Notamacropus eugenii: one gene and its partners. The protein of the gene in region 2 binds, or shares a complex with, the protein of the main gene of each other region. Links are inferred from orthologs where the notes say so. Each region holds a gene or a part of one and is shown on either strand. Other genes may lie near its edges.

What was found. The genes of interacting proteins can lie anywhere in the genome.
Region 1: E3 SUMO-protein ligase RanBP2-like (region 2) and NUP85 share a complex: the UniProt entries of both Homo sapiens proteins name them as parts of the nuclear pore complex. The link is inferred for Notamacropus eugenii from reciprocal best matches to the Homo sapiens genes RANBP2 and NUP85.
Region 3: the proteins of E3 SUMO-protein ligase RanBP2-like (region 2) and XPO1 are in contact, whole or in part, in a cryo-EM structure (PDB 9B62), measured with the Homo sapiens proteins. The link is inferred for Notamacropus eugenii from reciprocal best matches to the Homo sapiens genes RANBP2 and XPO1. Residues at the interface, in NP_006258.3 of Homo sapiens: Val2508, Val2509, Ser2510, Pro2511, Pro2512, Lys2513, Phe2514, Val2515, Phe2516, Gly2841, Phe2842, Gly2843, Ser2845, Thr2846, Gly2847, Leu2848, Ser2849, Phe2850, Ala2851, Leu2853, Ala2854, Asn2857, Ser2858, Gly2859, Asp2860, Phe2861, Ala2862, Phe2863, Gly2864, Ser2865; in NP_003391.1 of Homo sapiens: Trp60, Val63, Asp64, Leu83, Asn97, Gln98, Gly101, Ile102, Lys104, Tyr105, Val107, Gly108, Ile110, Ile111, Leu134, Phe149, Asp152, Ile153, Gly155, Ala156, Ser157, Arg158, Thr159, Ser160, Glu161, Leu163, Cys164, Asn167, Leu208, Phe211.

Annotation. Positions count from the first base shown.
Region 1 is NC_092873.1:341,248,794-341,256,518, reverse strand, and holds the start of NUP85 (nuclear pore complex protein Nup85), read right to left. Parts: upstream 3,054-7,725; 5' UTR 2,595-3,053; coding exon 2,562-2,594; intron 2,443-2,561; exon of another isoform or gene 1,910-2,442; intron 1-1,909. UniProt on the Homo sapiens protein: Essential component of the nuclear pore complex (NPC) that seems to be required for NPC assembly and maintenance. As part of the NPC Nup107-160 subcomplex plays a role in RNA export and in tethering NUP96/Nup98 and NUP153 to the nucleus.
Region 2 is NC_092877.1:204,448,482-204,456,568, reverse strand, and holds the start of E3 SUMO-protein ligase RanBP2-like, read right to left. Parts: upstream 3,034-8,087; 5' UTR 1-3,033. UniProt on the Homo sapiens protein: E3 SUMO-protein ligase which facilitates SUMO1 and SUMO2 conjugation by UBE2I. Involved in transport factor (Ran-GTP, karyopherin)-mediated protein import via the F-G repeat-containing domain which acts as a docking site for substrates.
Region 3 is NC_092872.1:643,246,898-643,254,846, reverse strand, and holds the start of XPO1 (exportin-1), read right to left. Parts: upstream 3,054-7,949; 5' UTR 2,300-3,053; intron 1,867-2,299; exon of another isoform or gene 1,659-1,866; intron 1-1,658. UniProt on the Homo sapiens protein: Mediates the nuclear export of cellular proteins (cargos) bearing a leucine-rich nuclear export signal (NES) and of RNAs.

The sequences.
Region 1 (7,725 bases), on a different chromosome or scaffold from region 2:
CAGGAGTTCACTGAGCTAGAATATGACATGGTATAGCCTGCACTTTTAGGAAAATCTCTTGGCAGTTGTGTAAGAAGACCAATTAAGAGGCCATGGCAGTGAAAGGTGATGTAGGTTCGAATTGCATTGGTGTTTATGTGAATACAAAGATCAGGTCAGAAGCAAAGGATGTCATGGACACAGAAATGGCAAGATGTGTCAACTGAGTGACTATATGTGTGATGAGAGAGAATGAGTACTTCAGAACAACACCGAGATGGAAAATCTGAGTGACTAGAAGGAAGGGGATGCGCAATAGAAATAGAGATGATCAGGAGAACTGAACTTGGGTGAGACTGAGGGAAAAGAAAACGAGTTGTTTTGGAGAAGTTGAGTTTAAGATGTCTATAGGCAACCTAGTTTGAAATATCCAACAGAGATATCTGAGCAATGCTCAGGAGATACTCAGGCAGGATATGTAGAATTTAGGAATCATTTGTAAATGGTAATTAAACTCATGAAAACTGCTGAGGTCACCAAGCAAGAGACAAGAAGTGGGCCCAGGACAGGATCCTGGAGTATCCACAATTAAGAGGTGCAATCTAGAGAAGGTTGGAAATGACTGGTGCAAAGGCAAAAGGCATCAATAAGATACAGTTTAAAAAATAAGTATTACTCTTAAGTAGCATTATTTCAGTCATTTCAAGATTGTCATGAACTCTGCAGATTATCAGCTGGTATCTATGTGGGGTGTGACTTTTTTTTTTTAATTGCTTTATTCTATTACTATTTATAGAAATAACAACATGCACTCCTTCCTACGTGTATCCTTTTTTCTGCCTAATTAGCTTCAGCAGTGATTCACAGAATCTATTGAGTGGACGTGAGTTTCAAGGACATCTAGTTCGACCCATACATTCTCTTTCTTAGAGAAGCTGAATGGCCATGACCAGAGATATGTCAAGTATGACCTTTCAGCAGAAGGGTCATGCCAACAGCTCAGAAATATAATGAGGAAAACAGGGTGAGGTTCCAGAGTGGGGGAAGCTTGCAGGATGACCGTATACTACTGTCTCACCTCAAACTCGCTGATGGCATAGTCACCAGATACTCAGTGCAGCACTAAACAAAAACCTGGTCCTGGTCCCTGCTTCAAAATGGAGTTAAACCAAAGTACAAAGAAAAAGTCAGAGGAGACAAGGGTTTCTCCAGTACTTTCCACAGCCACTGTGAAAACATCTCTGATTTTCTCTGAGACTAAATATACGTGTGTTCGTCCTTCGTTGCCCAAGAAGATCATGCCATCAGAGAAATGATGACATGACTTGCACTTGAATTTGTTTTGAGTGAGGGAAGGCTGTGCAGGTCACCAGCCTCACTTCTCCTCCAGAGCCACCTGAATCCAGTGACCTGATATTCATCAGGATGGCTGGAGATGACCCAGGATGAGGCAGCTGGGGTTAAGTGACTTGCCCAAGGTCACACCGCTAGTGGCGTGTCCAGTGTCTGAGGTGAGATTTGCACTCAGGCCCTCCTGACGCCTGCACTGGTGCTCTGTCCACTGCACCACTAGAGGCCCCTGAATGACCAGGTTCAGGAGAATGGGGTCCGGTTCAGCAGGCGGGAGAAGCCCCAGCGCTGGTGGCGGCCACGCAGGTCACACAAGTGCGGAGGGGCCCGTGAGAGATGGTGCGACTGTGTGGTAAAGGGCAAGCACTGCGGTTCTAACTGTCTAATTCTAGCACCCTCCCTTCCCACTCCCCCCCTGCCCTGGGATGGCGAGCAATCACTCAACCACGTGAAGCATTCCCATGTCAGTCATTCACTCTACTATAACAGATAGCGGGGACGGCTGTCGATAATAACGATGCTGAGGAGCCATCGCTTAAACAGCAGTAGCAACGACAGCTAACGCGCACGCCGCACTTACCCGGGGAGGACGAGCGGCCCCCCGCTCGGACCCAGCACTTCACGGCTCTCCTCCGCTCCTGCCCACACCCCGGGGGGCGGGCCCCAGGATGTCCCCCTGCTGCGGAGTGACCGGCCCGGGGTTTGCAAAGCGCTTTACAAGGCGACCCCGACCCCGCGAAGCGCCGGCTGATGTCATTACCCCCATTTACAGACTAGCTAAGGGACTCCACCAGGATCACAGAAACGGGAAAGGGACGAGGCCGTGCTCGAACCCAGGCCCCCCGGACTCCACCGCCGGCACCCCGCCCACCACGCGACGCAGCCAGCGCGACAACCAAGAAAACCCCCGAGGACTCCCCGGGAAAACCCGAGCGGCGTTTCTCAGGTGAGAAGGGGAGGGGGAGGGGAGGGAGAGAGAGGGCAGGAGGCCCGCCTAGGGCGCGGGAGGGAGGAACACCCACGTGCGTGGGCGTGGCCAAGGCGCGAGCGGGAAACAAAGGAAATGCAACCCGGCGCCTCTCACGACCCGGCCCTGCCAGGCTGCAGCGCGCGCCCGAGCCGGGCCGTGACCTCTGGAGGGGCGGGGCAGCGACCTCCGACGGAAGGCGGGAACGCGCCTGGACCACCCGCGGCTGTCCCTGGCCCTGCTGGTCCCTCGGCACGGAACCTACCGTGAGCGTGGGTTCACCATCCAGCTCCTCCATGTTGGCGGTCCGGTCAACGCAAGCACCAGGGACTCGAGGGCCGCCACAAGCACCCGGGCCCCGTATCTCGCGCCTACGAAGGACCCCGCTCCGGCGCCCGGCTGGCCGCGGAAGTGCCTGTCAGGGCGCTCGGGATTTGAGCGCATACGTGCGCATGCTCACATCAGCCACCCTTAAAGATAATTCCCCACTTGGGGCTTGGAAGCCGCCCCTCCGAAATCGCCGATGCTGAAGCATCACGTCCGTGCTTCCATCCGTCTCACTGACACCGGGCATAACTGTGGGCAGCCCGGCTCTCCCCAGGTGGCGGGAGAGTTCTTCGTCGGGTCTTCGTTGGGGTTGGGAAGCCTGGGATCTGCGGGCAGGTTGCGCCCCCCTGCGGCTGCGGGTGGAGAGGCAGTCTGGACCTGTGGCGAGCTGGAGCCATCCCCGCGGGTTAGCCCGTGCTGGGCCCTCTCCGCACGCACCCCGCCGGCAGGCGGTGTGCCCCCCGTGCAGGAGGCATCCGCGGAGGTGGAAACTGCCGCTGTGACTGCACCCATGAAGGCAGACGCTGCCACGCAGTAGAAACTAGCTCCAGTGAGGATGAGGATGGCAGGAAGGACTGGCTCACAGCTACCCCGAGGTAGGGGCTGCTGTTACCCCATTTTACAGAAGAAGAAACTGAGGCCAGCAGGCTCAGTGACTTGTGACGGGCACGCAGCTTTTACATGTCTGAGGCTGAATTTGAACCCAGGTCTTCCTGACTCCAGGTTCCAACTCTACTGCTTATCCCTAGCACTGGTTTTAAATTGATTTAAAGTCGCTCCAGCTGTCCCAGGGAACTTGAAAATCCCCCACCACCATGCCCTCGGTGCATTCACTTTATTTTACTTGGAGGGATCTTTGTGGTTGTTGAGGCACAGTGGATAGAGTCCTGGAGTCGGGAAGACTCATATTTCTTCTCAGACCCTTATTAGCTGTGTGACCCTGGACAAGTCACTTAACCCAGTTTGCCCACTTTGCTCTTTTGTAAGATGAGCTGGAGAAGGCACCTGTCTGCCGCCGACTGAGCTGGAGCAGCCCAGAGTCATGGAGAAGTCTGGGTGCTGATATTCCAGTGGGAGGTTCTGCTTGGTAGTCATGCCCCTTTTGGAGAAGAAAACCATGTCTAGGAGGTTGGAGCCAGGTGGGCTGGCTGACCAGAAGACAGGGGCTATGAGTGAGTTGTTCAGACAGTGTAGGTTGGGCTGAAAATGAAATGTTTATCTGTTCCACAACTGTCCTGTAAGTTTTTCCTATCTCCCAGAAGAGTGTAATAGAACTGATGGATTATTGTTTCATGTTTTAAATATTTTTCAGTGAGTGCTTATGAGTCTTTTGTGTTTTAAGCATTTCTTTTGTTGTGGAGGAAATAAATAGCGGTCCTGTACATAATCTATTTCGTACATTGAGCATTTCTGTAGGAGTCTAATCCCTTCTGGGCAGAACCTGGACAAGAGCCAAAACTAGGCTTTGTTTAAGAGATTTTCCCCAGAGTTGGTACAACTCTAGATTGATAGCATAATGAACCCAGAGTTGGGAGCCCTTGATGGGAAAGAGGTTACCAACCCCAAACCAGGATATAAGTGACACCTCGAATAAATCTGATCACTAAACACAATGTGAGTGACTTTATTCAGTTAGAAAACAGCATCTGCAATGATATATTTTTTTTAATTGTGAAGGTACATGAAGATTAGAAGGGAATTTGCAGGATGTTATGGCCAAAGCTAAACATCTTGTTACGTGATGGGGATTGCATCCCTTAACACTTCTAGGAAAATGTACTCCTCTCTGGAGTTTGTCTTTTTGGAATGACAAAGCAGACTCATGGTCTCTCACTCCCAGTGGTTGAAAGACATCAAACCTGTATCAGCTAGGACTGGCGAATAAGCCAGGAGGTATTTTGCTCTCTGTCTCTCTTTTCCACCTTATGGGTGATAAGTGCTTTTCCTCTTTAGACTACCCTGAAGGGAAAAAGAAAGGGTAGCCCCTTTCATCAGCTCTGACAACCTGACATCTGCTAATATATGGCAATGAGGCCAGCTGAACTTAACCTTGAAGTTCCTGACTAGCTTTTCCATTTGCCCAAGATGTACATGGCCTGCCTCCAAGGCAATCTTGTGTGGATTCCAGAGTCTGAGATCATACTGAGGTCTCTCTGAGCTGACCTGCAGCAGGAGTTTCTACATCAGAGAATGACTGGCCTGACTTGCCAGTAGAAGTGGACCTGGAGAGATTTGTTTGAAAAGGGCAGAGCCTAAGAGAAAGATAAAATGTCTATTCAGCAGACCCATAAAATGTTTTATATTTTGTTCAAGTCTCACAGGAGAACATAACAGTAATACTGAGGGAGCTAGGTGGACACAGTGGACAGAACCCTGGAACTCAGTCTTGAGTTCAAAACTGGCCTCAGAAACTTATAAACTTCCTGACCCTGGGCAAGTCACTTAACCCTTACCAGCCACAGGTCCCGCATCTGTAAAATGGCAATGATAAATAGCACCAACCTCTTCAGGTTGTGAGGAGGGCAAAATAAGCTAAAGTTTGTAAAGACCTTTGCAAACATTAAATTGCTCCAGCCACTATCATTACTCCTTCCTCGTTAAGGACACTTGTGAGTCTTTTGTTTTTAGCCTTTCTTTTGTGTAGAGGAAATAAATAGCTGTCCTAGATCTCATTAATATTTTATCTCCAGGACCTTTTAACCTTCCCCTTTTTGGGGAGAAACCGAGCCCAACCAGGTGGGTTTGCTCATCCTAGAATTTCTTTTAAAAAGGGAGAGGGATCCTGTGTTTCAGAGAGACCCTAGACATGAGCCAAACCTAAACTTTAAGTAATTTTTCCAGGTGCTCTTCTAGGGTGCTGAGAGTTAAGGGGCCTCTGAGTGAAGAGCAGAGTGAAGGTGGGGAGATCAATACATAATTTGAATAAATTATTGAATAAACATTTGAATAAATCCACTCCACTCCCACCTAAAGTAATAAGATGCTATACCCCTATTACATTTAACAGGTGGGAACGCATCTCATTTATGTAAAGAAGGCCTGGATATCTCTCCAAATATAGCAAGAAATGTATTCTGATTGATTGAGGAAACTTAGTTATGTCCTATGGGCCATCTATAAAATACTGAGCCAGTTTTTGCTTGAGAGATTCAAGTCCCCAGCAATGGAGAAGAGAGAGCATTCCAGCTATACTCCACAGAAAGAATCTTTTGGAATCCAGGGAAGAGCAGAGAGAGCCCTGGCCTTGATTTTCTCCTGCCCCTAGTCCCACTTTGATTGGACTAGTGGAGGATTTTGTACTTCTCATCTTCCCAATGGCATCCTTGAAGTGACAATGTCTTGCTTCAGGAAGCAAGGTCAGCCTGAGCATGGTGGGGAAAGGCAGGCTAAAGGCTTTACAAAAAAGAAACGTTCAACCATACTTAAGGACTGTGGCAGAAGAATTCCTGAGAGCTTCGATTTTGTCACATATGCCATCTAAACTGAAGCCCACTTTCCCCTGGAATCTGTACTTGTGAGAAGAATAATCCCAAAGAGACACCCATCAATGAGAAACAGCTCAATAGCTAGTTTATGAATATGGAGTATCTTGAGTTGTGGGGACAAAATCAGAGAAGCATAGGAAGATTTACATGAAAAAATGTCAAGTCAAGTAAGCAGAAACTGGAAAATAAATGCAATGATTCCAAAAAATGCAAATGGAAAGAAAGAACAATAATAAAAGAATGGAATATAGTCTCTGGGAACCTCTTTGAACTCTAAAATCTGGCTTTTCCCACCCAAATTGGTTACCTTTAACCTAGCCTGGCCCTCCTTTGTTGGTTGCCTCCAGATTGCCTCGGGTTACTTCCCATCTTTTATTCTATAAACCCTCCATTGTCTGTTAACTCCTCCCTGATCACATCAGAATCCTACTGTCTTGATTCTGACCAGTTGTCACTCCAACCCCATTAAGATCCTCATTGGACTCCTCCTCAAGACCCTCCCTAAACCCTCTTCCCATCACCCTAGACCACTAGACCACCCCCAGATCCCTCGCACAGTCTTTCTGTATATAAGCTCTTTCTTGTCTCTATGAAGGTGCTCTGATTCAATCCAGTTCTGATTCTGTCTACCTGAGATTCTATCTGGCCCACTTGTTAATACAAACCTCAAAAACGGCCAGCCTTCATAAGTTAACCCAACATGACGGATCTTTAATAAACTTTGTTTTTCATTGGCTGTAAAAAGGCTTGGGTCAAATTCATTTGGGTAGGACCCAGGGTTGTCAGTATTTTGGGGTCCCAGGCACCCCAAGCCTCAACACATGGTTCTCTCACCTCAACAAAGCAATGACCTAGAAACTTGAATGTGTTGTAGTTATAATGACCAAGCTTAGCCCAATAGCTCAAGAAAAGTGATGAGAAAATTCACCTTCCTCTCTTTGCTGAGGTGGAAGATTATGGGTGTGGAACATTACCTGTAAAGTTTGTCTCTGCTGATATGTTAGCTAATTGTGTACTGTGAATTCACAGCAAACTTGCAACCCAAAATGGGGCACAGAAATTGTTTGCCAAACCTAGCTCTGAATGATTCATGATCAGTAGTATCAAACTCAAATAGATGGGATCCCTGAGCTGCATATTGACTTAGAGAAAAACACAAATTAACATATTTTTTTTGTGGAACACTAAGACACTGCTGTACTCAAGCCAGCAAAAGGCACTGAGGCCCCTCCCTTCTCTAATGAAGGTCTCCTCTTGGCTCTAGACCTATCTATGTACATGTTCTGGACTGCTTTTAGTCATGGGAAGAACCTGAGTGACTCTAAAAGGGAGATTAGACTTTTTCTTCTCATCTACTTTAGCTCATTATGTCTTATAGCATAGTCACCTCTGGGGAAAACTACTTAAAGATCAGGTTTTGACTTGTGCCTAAGATCTCCCCAAAAAGGAAAATTAAAAAGCTATTCTATATACATTATGGAACAGGTATTTATTTCCTAACACCCAAAAGAAACGCTCAGTACAGCACGTTGACAGGAACTAAATAAGGAGCAACACTAACCACTGCCATACTGTGCCAGGAGGTTAACACTTAAAACCATTTAAACTGGAAGCAGT
Region 2 (8,087 bases):
AGAAGGAGCTGTGCAGTCGGGCCAGATCGGAGCACACCCTTTCCTCCCTTTGCTGTTTGTTTTCTCCCCTTTGTTCCGATTTTTCTTTCACAACATGACTAATGTGGAAATGTTTAATACGATTGTACGGGTGTAGCCTCTGTCAGACTGCATGCCGTCTTGAGGAAGGGGGGAGACTTCACAACTCAAAATCTTATAAAAGTGAATGTAGAAAACTAAAAGTCATTGTTTAAAAAATTTAACTGTTTCTTTAAAATAGCACTTAAGGGAGTTTTATAGAGCTTTGTAAATAACCCATTTCATCCTCAAAATAACCCTGGGAGATGGGTGTAGCTCTTAAACCCCTTTACAGAGAAGAACCTTGAGGCCCCTCCAGGATCGCACAGCCACAAATTCCTGGGGCAGGGACTTGTTGGAGGGACAATTCACCCAAAGGAATCCGGTTTTATGTGTAGAAAAGCAGTCCTGTGAGTCCGTCCCAGGGATGGTGAGCTGGGGAGGCACTCTGTAGGGTTAAATAGGAGCAAGGGTCCTATTCGTTGTGGCTTACCCTACAAGGAGGTCAGCACAGTGCCCAGCATCTAAAGGACTGGGGGGAAGGGGAAGAAAAAACGAAGGGCCTACAATGTACCAGGCAGTGCGCTTAGCACTTTACTATGCTAAAGACATTTTCACAGTCATATTGCACGGAAGAATTAAAACGAATGGGAGAAACCATGAGAAAAATGAAACCAGAACATAACACATGAGAAAACAGTCTTTCATTCCGCATCCCGATTCCATAGTTCTTTCTCTGAATGTGGATGGTACTGATGCTCACAATAACCCTGGGCCATAGACACTATTATCATTTCCACTTTACAATTGAGGAAATTGGGGGAGACAGAAGTTAAGTGATTTGCTCAGTCATAAAGCTATTAAATGTCTAAGTTTGGATTTGAACCCAAGAACCCAGTGCTCTATGTGTGACACATCGTGTGACACCTTGCTGTAGGCAATGTCTTGCTGACTATACAAATAACTTTTCTACTAATCTAAATTTTTTACCATTGGAGTAATTAATGTAGTTTATAACCCTCCTCTGCTAACCCTAAGTCCCTTTCTCTCCAGAAGATCATAATTGAAATGGACATACTGAGGAAGCCCTTTACCATTAGAATAGATGAGTTTGTTATTATTAGACACCTTGGATCTGGAGAGGACAGAGGAATTTTACTAGTGGGAAAACAAGGCTTGGACAAGTTCAGGACATGGGAGAGAGAGGGAGATTTACTTCAGCACCTGGTTTAGGTCCTCATATTCCAGCAGTTATCGTTACACTAGTAATTTTGCTGACATAGTGAAAAAGACTAGTGAATAAACAGCCATTTCAGAATCTTTGTAAGCCCATTTTTGGGTTTTCTTGACAGATACTGAAGAGATTTGATTTTGTTCAGGTAGTTTTTCGGTCATGTCTGACCCAGCCTGGGTTGATATCCTGCCTCTGATACATCTTGGCTGTGTGACTCTTGAGCAAGTCACTTAAACTCAGTACTCTAGGCCAGAGACGTCAAACACAGCCCACAGGTCCAAACCAGATTAAAATACATTTGGGAATTATTTTTGAAAATAAATGTAAATGCAATAAAACAAAGATAATATTGTATTTTGAAGAACTAAGTTAATTTTCAACCCATGAGGATCCTTCTGCATGGATTAATGATGCCTTTCCATTTAGAATTTAACACCACTGCTCTAAGCAGTTCTCTGAAACAAGGGGTCTTTTTAAAAAAAAAAAATCAATCTATTTGTTTTTAGTTTTCAACAATCACTTCCATAAGTTTTAAATTTTCTGCCCCTTACTCCCCCCTCCCTCCTTGAGATGGCATGCAATCTTATATGAGTTCTACACGTACATTCTTATTAAACACATTTTCACATTAGTTATGTTGCACAGAAGAATTAAAATGAATGGGAGAAACTATGAGAAAAATCAAACCAAAACATAACACATGAGAAAACAGTCTGTTTCATTCTGCATTCCAATTCCATAGTTCTTCACTGGATGTGAATGGTATTTTGCATCAAGAGTCTTTGGGAGGTGGGGGCCACAGCCAAGATGTCAGAGTAGAAGGATGGACCTGCTCTAGCTCTCCCCCCATAGCCCAAAAAATACCTGTTAAAAAAATGACTAAACAAATTCGAGGTGGTTGCTCAGAGATCAGAGCACAGGCCAGGAGAGGAGTAAACTCCTGTCCCTTAATTGTGCCACCTTGGAGAAACTGAGAACTTACTGGTCCCTAGAGATATCTCAGAGAACAGCTACACAAAACCTCTGAAGCCTAGGGTAGTATACTCTCCACTTGGCAAAGGACTCAAAAATCAAGTAACTGGCTGGGGAAACGCCCAAAAAGGGGGTAAAAAATAAGACTATATTACTTTATTATTATTATTATTTACTATATTATTATTATTATTTACTATATTACTTTATTGGTGAAAAGGTATTTTCTTCCATCTTTTTGGATGAGGAAGAACAAAGCATATCATCAGAGGAAGACAGCAAGGTCAAGGCTTCTACATCCAAAACTTCCAAAAAAAAATATGCAATGGGCTCAGACAATGGAAGAGCTCAAAAAGGATTTTGAAAATCAAGTAAGAGAGGTGGAAGAAAAATTGGAAAGAGAAATGGGAGCAATGCAAGAAAATCATGAAAAGTGAGTCAACAGCTTGGTAAGGAGATCCCAAAAAATGCTGAAGAAAAATGGACTAACCCAAATGACAAAAGAGGTCCAAAAAGTCAAGGAGGAGAAGAATGCTTCCTAGAAAAGGAGGTCCAAAAGCTCACTGAAGAAAATAATTCTTTAAAAATTAGAATGGAACAGATGGAAGCTAATGTCTTTATGACAAACCAAGAAATTCTAAAACAAAACCAAAAGAATGAAAGAAATAGAAGACAATGTGAAATATCTTATTGGAAAAACAACTGACCTGGAAAATAGATCCAGGAAAGAGAGTTTAGAAATTGTTGGTCTACCTGAAAACCATGATAAAAAAAAAGAGCCTAGACATCATATTCCAAGAAATTATCAAGGAAAACTGCCCTGATATTGTAGAATCAGAGGGTAAAATAGAAATGGAAAGAATTCACCTGTTACCTCCTGAAAGAGATCCCAAAAGAAAAGCTCCTAGGAATATTGTAGCCAAATTCCAGAGTTATCAGGTTAAGGAGAAAATATTACAAGCAGCCAGAAAGAAACAATTCAAGTATTGTGGAAATATAATCAGGATAACACAGGATTTACTCCTACATGAAAAGATGTTATTTTTAACTCACGGGACCTTTTTCATTAATAGGAAGGGAGAATACCCAAAAAATAAAAATTTACTGTTGAGTGGAATGTATTAGGAGTAAGAGAAAGGTAGAATGTAGCAAATCATCTCACATAAAAGCCGTAAGACAATGGAGGGGAAGAGGAGGGAGGTGAATTAAATGAGCCTCTTGTGGAATTTAGCTTAAGGAGGGAATAACACAATTGGATATGGAAATCTATTTTACCCTGCGGGAAGGGAGAAGGGAAGGGGATAGGAGAGAGGACAGCATTTGGAGGAAAGGGATAATCAGAAGCAAACACTGTTGTGGGAGGACAGGTCAAGGGAGAGAATGGAATAAATGCAGGGCAGGAGAGGACAGAGGGAAATATGGTTAGTCTTTCACAACATAACTATTATGGAAGTGTTTTGCATTGTTACACATGTATGACCTATATTGAGTTGCTTGTTTTCTCAATGAGGGTGGGTTGGGAGGGAGGAAGGGGGAGAACATGGAACTCAAAGCTTTAACAATGAATGTTAAAAATTGTTTTAGCATGCAACTGGAAAATAGATATACAGGCAATGGGGTATAGAAATCTATTTTACCCTACAGGAAAATAGAGGGGAGGGGGATGGAAGAAGGGGGTGGTTATAGAAGGGAGGACAGACTGGAGGAAGGGGTGGATGGGGTGCATGTTGTCCTGGGGTGGGGAGAGATGGAGAGAAAATTTTGAATTCAAATTCTTGTGGAAGTGAATGTTGAGAACTGAAAAATAAAAGATATTAAGAGGAAAAAAAAGAGTCCTTTGGGAATGTTTTAGGTCCTTGCATTGCTATGAAGGGCTAAGTGTATCAGAAGTAGTCTTTGCACACTGTGGCTGTTATTGTGTATCATGTTCTCCTGGTTCTGTTCATTTCACTCAGCATCAATTCATATAAATCCAGGTTTTTCTGAAGTCTGACTGTTTGTCATTTCTTATAGCACAATATTATTCCATTACATTCATATACCACAACTTGTTCAGCCCTTCCCCAGTTGAAGGGCATTCCCTCAATTTCTAGTTCTTGACCACCACAGAAAGAGTTGCTATAAATATTTTTGTACATGTGGGACCTTTTATCATTTTTATGATCTCTTTGGGATACAGCTTTAGAAGCAATATTGCTGGGTCAAAGGGTATGCACATTTTTATAACCCTTTGGACATAGTTCCAAACTGCTCTCCAGAATGACTGGATCAGCTCACAGCTCCACCAGCAATGAATTAGTGTTCCAACTCTCCCACATCTTCTCCAACATTTATCATCTTCTTGTTTTCTCTTGTTAGCCAATCAGATAGGTATGGTGTGGTACCTCAGAATTGTTTTGATTTACATCTCTCTAATCAATAGTGATTTAGAGCATTTTTTCATATGACTATAGATAGCTTTAATTTCTTCCTCTGAAAACTGCCTGTTCATATCCTTTGACCATTTATCAATTGGGGAATGACTTGTTTTCTTGTAAATTTGACTCAGTTCTCTTATATTTTAGAAATGAGGTCTTTATCACAAACATGAAACAAGGGGTATTAATGTGAGGGGTTTTTTATATTTTTAAATGAAAAAACAACTATTTTAATATAATTGATTTCCTACATATTGTACTTTATGTATTTAAAAACATGATTCTGAGAAGGGGTCCACAGACCTCATCAGACTACTCAAAGGATTCCATGATTCAAAAAAAAGGTTAAGAATAGTTCGTATAGAGGAAAAAGAGAAAAGATACAGCCTTAGGCCTAGTAGTTAGTGGGCATTGTGCGAATGAAGATCCAGCAAAGGAGAATAAGAAGAAGAGTCAAACAGGTAGAAGAACCAGGAGAAAATAAAGAAAACCTGGAGAGAAGAGATCATCGAGGGTGTCAAAGAATGATGCTATAAATTGGTTTCATTTAATCGCTTTTTCCATTTTATGAGAGGGTTCCTGGGGATTTTGGGGTGGGTAACGACGGGGAGATGTTAGAGAATACTGGAAAATGACAGTTTTATACAAACAAAGATATCAATATAATGTTAAAATGTAAAAATAAACTAGAGATGACTAGTAACATTGTAATGTAGAAACCCTGCAAAATTTCCCAATAAAATCAGAAGTGAAAAAAAAGATTATTATTATTATTTGACATAGTTCTAGAAGTACTAGCTAGCTAAAGCAATAAGGCTAATTAAGGGAATAAGCACCTGAAAAAAAGGAAAAATTGGCAATTTACTCACAAAATAGTAAAGAATTAAAAACTAGACAGTTCAGCAAAGTAACAAGATATGAAATATCAATAAGACTCTCGTATTAAGGTCCTACTATATGCCCAGCACTATACTAAGTCATAGGGATACAAAAAGAAGCAAAAGACAGTCCCTGCCCTCAAGGAGCTCACAATCTAATGGGGGAGACCACAAGCAAACAAATATGTATAAACAAGCTATATAGATGATAAATAGAAAATAATTAGGAAAGGCACTAGAATTAATAGGAGTTGGGGAAGAATTCCTGTAGAAGAGGGGACCTTAGCTGGGGACTTCAAGGAAAGTGGGAGAACAGTAGTCAGACTGAAGGAGGAACAGCATTCCAGGCAGGGTGGACAGCCAGAGAAAATGCCCAGAGACAGGAGATGGATTGTCCTGTTCATGGATTTTAAGGAAGAAAATAGGTACGAATTTACTATGAGGGAAGCTGTGAAATGCGCCAATTCTTTTAAAAGGCAATTTGGAATGATCAAGATATCACAAAGTTTTTCATACTCTTTTGTCTAATGATCTCATTGTTGGTTTTGTACCCCAAAGAAGCTTTGATATAAAAAATGACCCATCTACACAAAAGAATCTTCATAGCAGCACTATTTCTAACAGCGAAAAGCTCAGAGCAAACTGTGTACATGTGAGAGAACAGCTGAACAAATGAAAAGACACCATAATGCCTCAGAAAGATGGAAATAAGGACTGGATGACAAGCACTATGCTAAGCACTGGGGATACATGTGGATAAGCCAAATAACCCCTCACTCTCAAGGAGTTCATAATCTAATTAGAGGAGAAAAGAGGGGAAATTAAGTCTCAGGAGTTAAGAGGACAAAGGGGCAGAGCAGACAGTAAAGTTTGATAGACCTTAGCAGTTCCAAAGCAGAAGGTCACTCATTAATGACCATTGGGAAGCAGATAGTGAGTGGGATGTGGGCTCTGAATAATCTCAGGGAAGGTTGGTGTTGAGGGTAGGGAAAAGGGGAGGAGGAAACGTCTAAGTCTGAGGGAATATCCATTAGGAACTGAGCAAGGGAGCAGAGGAAAGGAAGGGTTCCCTGAATCTTGTTCCATTTTTTCTCCAAAGAAAAAAGTCCCGCTTGCCCATTTGATGCTGTTTCGTTTCCAGGCAACAAGTTGAAAAACCAGCAAGAGTGGCTGCTGTGGGGGGCTGGAGCCCTTCCCATCCACTGCCCACAAGCCAATGAATGGACACTTGAAAATAATAGCTAGTTATTAGCTATTATGTATAAATATTTTAATTAAATACCATATGAAATAGATATAATAAATTATTTGTGCACTGTAATATGTATCTTAATATATTACATGCACAATTATGATATTGTGAATGTTGTGTGAGATGTAATTATATAAAATAGATAATTATAGATAGAAATGTATACTGTATTAATTACATATAAGATAGAATTATATTCATATATTAATTACATCATATAAACCATATTATTATATAGTTAATACATTGATGTATTAATAACTAACAATTAACTACAGATAATAATAACAGTAGTTAACATTTATATAGTGCCTACTATGTGCTAGGCACTGTGTTAAATGTTCTACAGATTATCTCCTTAGATCCTCATAACCACCCTGACAGGTAGGGGCTTTTATTGTCTCCACTGTACTTGAGAAAATTGAGGCAAACGGGTTAAGTGACTTGTTTGTGGTCACTCAGCCATTAAGTTATATCTGAGGCCAAATTTGAACTCAGATCTTCCTGACTTCGGGTTCCTGGGTCACCCCAGGATGACCCAACAAGAGCAAGAGTAAAATATAAATAGGAAGAATTCGAAGAAATGTGGACAAACTTGTGCCTGGTGATAGAGTGAGGAAAGCAGACACAAAATAACAATATACTCAGCAATTACAACTACATAAAATAGGCCAGGGAAATGGAAACAAAACTCAGATGAAATAAAATGGATACTGTTGCTACTTATTTGTTAAAGTTAGAGGTCACACCCTTCCCTTCAAGTACAGAAATGTAGAAGTATCTAGGTTGTTCAGGGATGACTAACACCTGAGACGTGAGGTGGCCACCTGTGTCTCCAAGAAGCTGTCGGATGCAGAGTAGCCACAGCCTGTACTATCTTGGCAGATGGGCTAACCCAGGTTGAGGTAATAGACAGGTCTCAAACTCATCAGTGAGTTACGGAGATGTCTACCCCAAGCACGTGAAGACTTGCCCTGGCAGAAATGGCAGATCAGAACAATTTGTTTCAATGGCTGGATTTGGATTCAGGAAGAGGAGTCTTTCACAACTCCAGGCCTGGCACTCTATCCATTGAGCCACCTAGCTATTCTTATTTCATCCTTCCTACCTACAAACATGTCCAATCTCCCTAGAGTTAGAACCTACCATCTTCTCAAGCAATAGTCCTATCTTCTCCCTTTTTGGGCCAAACTCCCAGAAAAAATTCTGTCCATTGTCTTAATTTCCTTTCATTCACTTCTGAATCCTTTGCATCCTGGCATTTGACAACATTCAAT
Region 3 (7,949 bases), on a different chromosome or scaffold from region 2:
ACTTCAATAAATAGGAATGGTATAGAAATCTGGGAATTTTCACCAGCACTATCAAAGTGTAAAGCCAAAATACATTAATACTTTCATCACTGAAAAATTTGGAGATTATTTCACTGTAACTTTCTAAAACTCAAACTATAAGCAAAACCTTAAGACTGAATGGGTGGTGCTTAATTTGTATTTGATAAGCCTTAGAGTACTCACTGAAGATAGGTTCATTGTATTAGTTTCAAAGTAAAAAAATTAAGTTATGACATTTCGCTTATGTAAAATGAAAATCCTAAAGTCAATACTAAGTTTAAAAAATGCAATTTACCCTAAGACACAAAAAAGCAGAAATTATTTTTAAGACTTTCTAAAGAGATAGAACAATTTAACTACTTTCAAAACTTACTAGTCTATTAACTAGTTTACAACCAGGACATCAATTCTTAAAACCTAGGTGTTACACAACATATATTTTTAGAACACAGCACCTGTCATAAGCATAGCTACAAAATCTTGAGTCAAAAATAACTACTGACAAAAAAGAAAAATGGAAATCTCTCTCACATATGCTCTCAATGGTGTCAGTTACTCTTTCCTTTCCCAAATGTAATTTTTAAAAATTCTAAGATGAAGGGTAGCATCATTTATATTGAGAAAACAAATTCACTCATACAGAACATGAAATATACACCTCAAAAGTGGTCTTTAATTAGGACTGGATAATTAGGGAAGAAATAGTTTACGTTTTCATTTTACTTGGGTCTACTCAAGTACACCATTTGTCAATGGATGGAAGAAAATTAGTTTATAATAATATTGCTTTTTATGCAACTGAAGTGCTGCATTTTACTAGTTAGGGTGCCCCTCAATCCCCACCCCATTTTCTATCTTCTAGAGTATCCATTTCAAAGTAGTTCACCCCCCATAAGCACAGCATTGTGCCACTCTCAGTACTATACATCCAAAACGACCTACCTATTCTTAAAGTACAGAAATGGGAGCTTTGTGGTCAGTGTCAATCACTTTTGACTTCCAAAACAAAAAAAGTCCAAAAAAATTCAACTTCCTAACCATCAGTGTTTTAAACTTCCTCTCTCCATAAAAGCTTTTAAGTGTTAGTAAAACCCGGAACAAACATCCAATCGCCAGGTAAAATACCTTTTCTTGCTGCCCCCTCCACTCCAAACACCAGTTCATTAGGTTCCATTCTCCACGCGGGATTACCATTTTATCTGGTCTGTACTAGCATGCTAGTATATAGTGAGGGCTCTTCACTTCAACAGGAACAAGCCAACAGCCACCCTGCCATCCCCTAACCGTAGCTCACAGCTAACTTCACCACAGGTCAGAGACAAGTCGCTACAAGGTGTGCGGGCAGTCGCCAGCTTCATTCAGGAGAAACACGCCCTCCCCTGCTCTCCTCCGGCCTCCCACCCAGACTGACTGTGCTGCACTTCTAACTATAGAATGCCGCCAGGGGCCCTCCCCCCGCCCTCACTCGGGGAAGGTATGCAGACCAGGCGAGACCCAAGCTCAGCGCCCCAGCCCCGGGGAACGAGCCAGGGACGTGACGGCGAGCCGACCGTGGCCGAATTCAAACACCCCCGAAAGGGCTCCTGCTCTGCCCCTCTCCCTCCCACCCCCGGAAGAGGGCTGATGAAAGCACTCACACACAACGCCAGCCCTAGCAAACGCGTTTCTAGGGGTCTAACCGCGCACACGGCCATCTCCGCTCAGGACCTCCGCCACGGCCGGACACGGGCACATGCACGCGTGGACACGTCCACACACACACACGCGCGCACACGCCGGAGCAGCCCCGAGCGGGCCTGGCTCCACCGCAGCCCCTCCCTCCTCCCGATCCCAGCTCCCTCTACCAGGGGCCACGTGACGCAGGCGGACGTTTCAATGCTGCTGCTCCTGCTGCTGCACTCAGTATTTCTGGAAACTTCCACTCATAATAATTCACCGAGCCGTTCCCCACATCGCCCCGGCCGACGGGGGCAGCCCCCGGGCCCCGCGCCCCCTCCCCAAGGGCGGCAGCGGCTCGCCTCCCGCGGCCGTGCACCCCACCTCCCTCCCCTCCCACCTCCCCAGCGCTACAAGCCGTTCCATTCAATTGCAGGCACCGCACCACACCGCGGCCCGTACCCCGCTCGGGGGCCTTTCCCCCCGCCGCGCGGCGGACCGCCCCCCCGATCCTCCCACTTCACCCCACCCAGGATCTCTCCTCGATCCAGCTCGGGCTCCCGAACCCTCAGGACTACACCCCCCGACCCCCCAAGATCGCTCATTACGTGTTCCGACTTACCCAGAGATTGAACCAACTGCCTCGTCCTTCCTTGTGGGGGGCTGGGAGGGGATGAGGGAAGGTGGGGAAGGGGGAAGGAGGGGAGACGAAGGTGGGTTTCACAGTTTGCCCACCTTAAAAAAAGAGAAATTAAAAAATGAGAGGGGAGGAAAAAGGCAAAAAAAAAGCTCAATAACGTTTTACTCTTCCAGTGACGCCTCCCCCCCTCACACGCACCTCCCCCCAAAATAACGATAACGAAGCGGATGAATCAACGATCCCGCTGGGGTGGAAAAGGAGGGGCGGGGGAGGGGAGAAGGGAAGTCAGGTCCCAGAGGTTCAGCCCCAAGGGGACCCTCCGGCCAGGCAGGAGCAGCGGGGGGGGGGGGGGGGGGGGGGTCGCCGCTGAAGTCCAGTCAGGGGACGCTCAGTGCTGCCGGGTGCAGTCCGACTTCCCCCCACCACAACGCAGTGCCCTCTCTCACTCGGCTCCGGCGGCTGGGCCCCCCCAACCCGGCTCCCCTAAACTTTCTCCCCTCCTCTTCCTCCTCCGCGACTGGCGGCTCCCTCCTCCCCCTCCGGGTGCTTGCACGGCCGGCAGCAGCAAAGACGGGAGCAGGCGCCGCTGCTGGGGCTGTAGCTATTGCCGTGGAGGTTGCTGTTGCTGCTGCTGCTGCTGCTGCTCTTGCTGCCGCCGCGCCGCTTCTCCCCCTCCTAGTGCCACAAACTCGGAACCGGTTGAAACCGGTTCAGACTGGGAGATTCCATCTCGGTTGAGTTTTCAGCCCATGGCGCCGCGGAGCGTTTGGAACCTGGGCCTCCTCCCCCAGCCCGCCGGCTTATTGGTCGGAGCTAGCCACAGCCGCGCCGTCAGTCACGCAGCCATTGGCTGGCGGACCCATCAATCCCACCTAAAGCCTCCACACGAGCCCGCCGCTCAGGCCCCCGCCTCTTTCCAGCAGCGATTTGCCCGCAGAGTGGGGGAGGGGAGATAGGCCTGGTTGAGAGGGAGCCTGGGTGGGGGGGTAGTAGGCAAGGGAGAGAGGAGTGGAGCGGGGAGGACAAGGGGAAACCGCACGGGGATTGGTCACGGCTGCCTGCCAGTCAAAAGTAGCCTTCCCTCCCCCACCTCCCGCCACCTCCCCTTTCGAGGCCCTCAGGCCCCGATTTTCCTCTCTGCTCATTGGTCCGGCGCCTTTGGTGACGGAGAGGGTGGGGCGCCGCCAGTGTGCTGGTGGAAGCGCGAGTTTGATCTGGTAGCGCGCGGGCAAGTGTTCGCTCCCTCTCTCCACAGCCCCAGGTCAGCCCCGCCCCGCCCCCTCCCCGCCATCTCCCGCCCAACGTCTTGAGCCCGCCTCAGCCCTCTCGGCTGTGGGTCCCGCCCTTTGCCTGCTCCGTGGGTGGGGGCTGTAGACCAGGAGCCGGGAGAACTAATCGTTTGTAAGGGGGAGGCAGGAGGAGAGGCCTTGGGCGGCCTGGTGGGAGCGCTAGGAGCTGCCCTCCGGGGCCGAGCTGGAGCCCTTTGTGTCGGGACCTCCGAATGTAAAGCGGGCCCCGGCCGCGCTCGTCGGGCTGCTGTGCACTTGGCGGGAAGACCGCCACCAGCCCCCGGGACCGGGCCTTCCCTGCTCCGCGGGAGCTGCCCGATCGCTCGGGGTGCCTGGGAGCGGGGCGTGGAGGGGGACACGCCGAGCGCGGCTCTTAGCTCCGGCCGAGCTCCCCCGCTGCCCTCGGCGCCGAGCCTCGGGCGCCCAGCTACCTGCGGGCTGTCTGGGAGGGGCGTGAGGCGCCCGGCCCCCTGCTGCCCGCGGGCCGCCCCACGTTCTGGGACTTCAAAGGAAGCCGCGTCCGCACACGTGGGAGTGCCCGGAGCCGGGCGCTCCTCAGCCGATCTTCAGGCTCTCCTGAAACGGTTGGGTAAATAAGGAGGCGCCCCCACGGAAACTTGTTACTGAGCCCATTCTGCCACCCAGAGGTGGCGAGGGAATGAGTGTTTGTTTACGTCCGTGTGTGTGCGTGCCTGGACTTCTCTGGCGCAAGCCTTGGCTCCCTGGGCACCTGTCTGCTGAACCAGGTGGGGTCCCTCCCCCCCTTTTCCCCAGGTACACCCCCTGATCACACTGGATGACTTCTAGACCTAGATTTGAACTCGTTGTCCAACACGTGCCCGCGATGACAGAGGCACAATATCCTGAACGTTTGAGAGGTGAGGGAAAGGGTTTATTAAAGCATGTACTGACCGTTTAGTATGTGCCAGGCTCTATGAATGTCTGTGATGACAGCAGTTCTGTAGTATAGCTGCCGTTATCGTCCTCTTTTTACTGTTGAGGAAACTGAGGCAGGAACCTGCCAGAGCTGCCTCTAGACAAAATGGATCTGCCAGCCCTGGCCCTGGCCCTGGCCCGCGGACAAACCCCTCCTCCAAGAAAGGCCCTTTATCAGGCTGGGGATGTCGTGGAGGCTTGCCCAAGGAGCTGGGTCCAGCCGGCCTTCTCGCCACCAACATGGGCTGCCTGTAGAACTTCTGAAAAATTACCCCAGTGGTTTCAGATGGCTGTGAATAAGTATTCTTGCTCTTGGTGCTCCCGTATTTGGCTCATCTCTGTACGTTCCTTAACAGAAAGGAGCAGATCTGTGTGACCATAGTGATGAATCATTGCATGCAAGACACTGGGTTCATCTTGTGCCCAGCACCACCTCAAAGCAGAGCCCTGAATGCTGAATGGAAGGTCCTCCGGTGAAGACTTGTCAGTGTAACAGCTCCAGAGGGCCATTAGATAAGCACGTCTGGCTCTAGCCTTAGAGTTTGGAGGAGCCTTGCCAAGGTGAACTGTTATATCCATCTTGAGAGGGAACATAGAGATACAGCAAAAAGGCCTCCCCACGCCAACCAGGTTTGTCCATTATCCTCTTGGTAGATCAGGAGGAGCCGATGGAAGAAGCCATAGATTTGGAATCTGTGATTTCTTACCTGTGTGACCTGGTAATCACTTAAGCTCCCTGGGCCTCAGTGTCTTCATTTGTCAAATGAATGGATTGAACTAGTTAACCTCCGAGGTTCCTTCCAGCTATAGTTATCATCGCAGTGTTTTAAAGATTATACTTGAATATTGAATATTTAGTTTAGGAAACTAGGTGGTGCAGTGAAAAGGATTGTTGTTTGTCCTTTCCCAGAAGAGGACCATGATATCAGGGAGGTTAATGCCATGACATACTAGTGAAATGGATTTAAGTGAGGGAGGGCTGTGCAAAGTCACCAGCCTCACTTTCTCCTCTGGAGCCTTGTGGGTCTAGTGGCCAGATAGAGATCAGAACAATGGGAGATGACCAAGGATGCAGTGGGGGACCTAGACCTTTTCAAGCTAAGGGCTTTAACAGGTCTCAGTTTGACTGGGTCAACACCCATTCAGTGACTAAGCCTTAATAAGAATCGGGGCAGAGAACAGTATAGAGCATTAGACTTGGAGTCAGAACAGACCTGTGTTCAAATCCACCCTCAGAAGCGTACTAGCTGTGTGACCTGGGCAAGTCATTTAACCTCGAGCCACGCTTTTCTCACCTACTTCCCAGGGTTGATTTGAGGGAAAAAATGAGATATTTGTAAAAATACTTCATAAACCTTATGTTATATAAATACTAGCTATTATCATCCTTTCCAAAAGCAGTGATTTCTTTGGTCCTGTAGTTCATTTTACCTCATTTACTTCCTAAAGTAAAACATTTTTCCTGCTACTCTGTTGATCATGTGAGGAAAAAGCTTTGTGGCCCAGTGGATTGAGCACCAGGCCTGGAGTCAGGAGGACCTGAGTTCAAATCCAGTCTCAGACTCTTACTAGCTGTGTGACTCTGGGCAAGTCAGTTAAACTCTGTTTGCCTTAAGCCACTGGAGAAGGAAAGGGCAAATCACTCCAATATTTTTGCCAAGAAAGGACAGTATGGTCCACAGGGTCACAAAGAGTTGGACGTAACTGAACAGCAACAAAAAATTGATCATATGTGTATGTGTATGTAGAGAGACATATGCAATGTATACATCTATGTGAGTATTGTGTATATGTGTATATATATGTGTGTGTATTAATACTTGTAGATAGCATCCTAAAGCCTGTCACCCCAGTTAATGTGAGGAACAAGATGCTCTATGCCTTAGTAGCTTTATCAGGAGAGTGTCAGGATCAGTCAAAGGTATAAACTAGGTAGGAATAAGTTCTTAGATAATTAGTAAAATACTTGAGTCATTGAATGAGAGCAGATGATGCTTCATAGGAAATGTCTTGTGGTTGGTTGAAGTTGGCTAAAATAGCAAACCAGGTCAGAATCTGGCTTTCCTATAACTGATCGGACTAATAGTAGAACAACTACAGCTGAGCATCAGAGAGGGAATCTCTTAGGGGGTAGGTAAGGAGGAATTTCTGCATTTTCTCCCCTCCTCTTGATCAGAGGAAAACTTTGTGACTTTGGAAGGGTTGGAAGATTTGAACATCTGTATTGGTAGCGGCGTTCCTGGAACAGCAGTGGCTGATGGCAGTATGTGCTTCAGGAGTCAAGGAAGAACTAGAGAATACTGAGGAAATGCAACTACAGGACTGTACAAGAGCACCTACCATCAGAGTCCAGCAGAGAAGCACATATCCCAAAGGGAAACTTCTTGAGAACTCTATGAAAGGAGAAAAGGAATTCCAAAAATCAAGAGCTGTGAGTTAACCCTTTCTCTCATGTTCTCTAAACTAGAGCCCACTCTCCCCAGGGATTTGTGTGTGCCAGAGGAGAGTGTGCCTTAGCCTGGGGGTGGGGGGATGGGAGTTATTTGGGTCTAAATCTTCCTTTCTCTATCTGCTTAGTAAATACTCCTTTCTGAAAGCTAATTAAGTCGAACATAATCAAAGAGGAACCCATCAGATGAGGGTTTGAGAGTGATACTACTAGAACCTTAAGTTTATTCCTAAAACCCTGAGGGGAGAAATAATTAGCTGTTCTCTAAGGAACTAACTTGTTAGTGTAAGTAGGGGTTGGGGAAGAGAGCTTAGAGGTGGTGTTGCATATCTATATCTCTATATACAATATGTATATGTTTACATATGTACATATGCACATATGTGTATATTACATGTAGGGTTTGTGTAGCCCATGTAGGGGTATACGTCCACCTGGGTTATCTAATAGCTATTTGTGGGTAGTATGATTTGATGGATCTGGAATTTTGCCTACCCTTCTCCAAAGGAAATTTTAGTTTCTGCCTAGAGGGGAAAAAGGAAATTAGTGCCATAGGCTACTCATTCTTCTCTCCTTAGATAAGGAGTATATTTATACCCATTTTCTCCCAGGCTATATTTATACCCATTTTCTCCCTTAAATATTGTTAGTCTAGGGAAGGATATTTTCCCCTTTGGTTCAATCTGCTTTTTAGGTTACTATTCCTTAAAAAAAGGAGTACCTCTTATTTATATTTGAAGGCTTGAATCTATCCCATCAAAAGCTAGTTATCTAAAAGGCCATCACAAATAGTGAATAGTGAGTAAACTCATTTATTTAAGCAGAAAACAAGCAGAAACCAGATTAGAATATTCCAGACAATATACAGAGTGAATTAGTTCTTCCACTGAGAGCAAGCTATCCATCTGAGCTCAACAAAGACAGGCTTTGATCTTACCCAAAAGGAAATTCCTCAAAG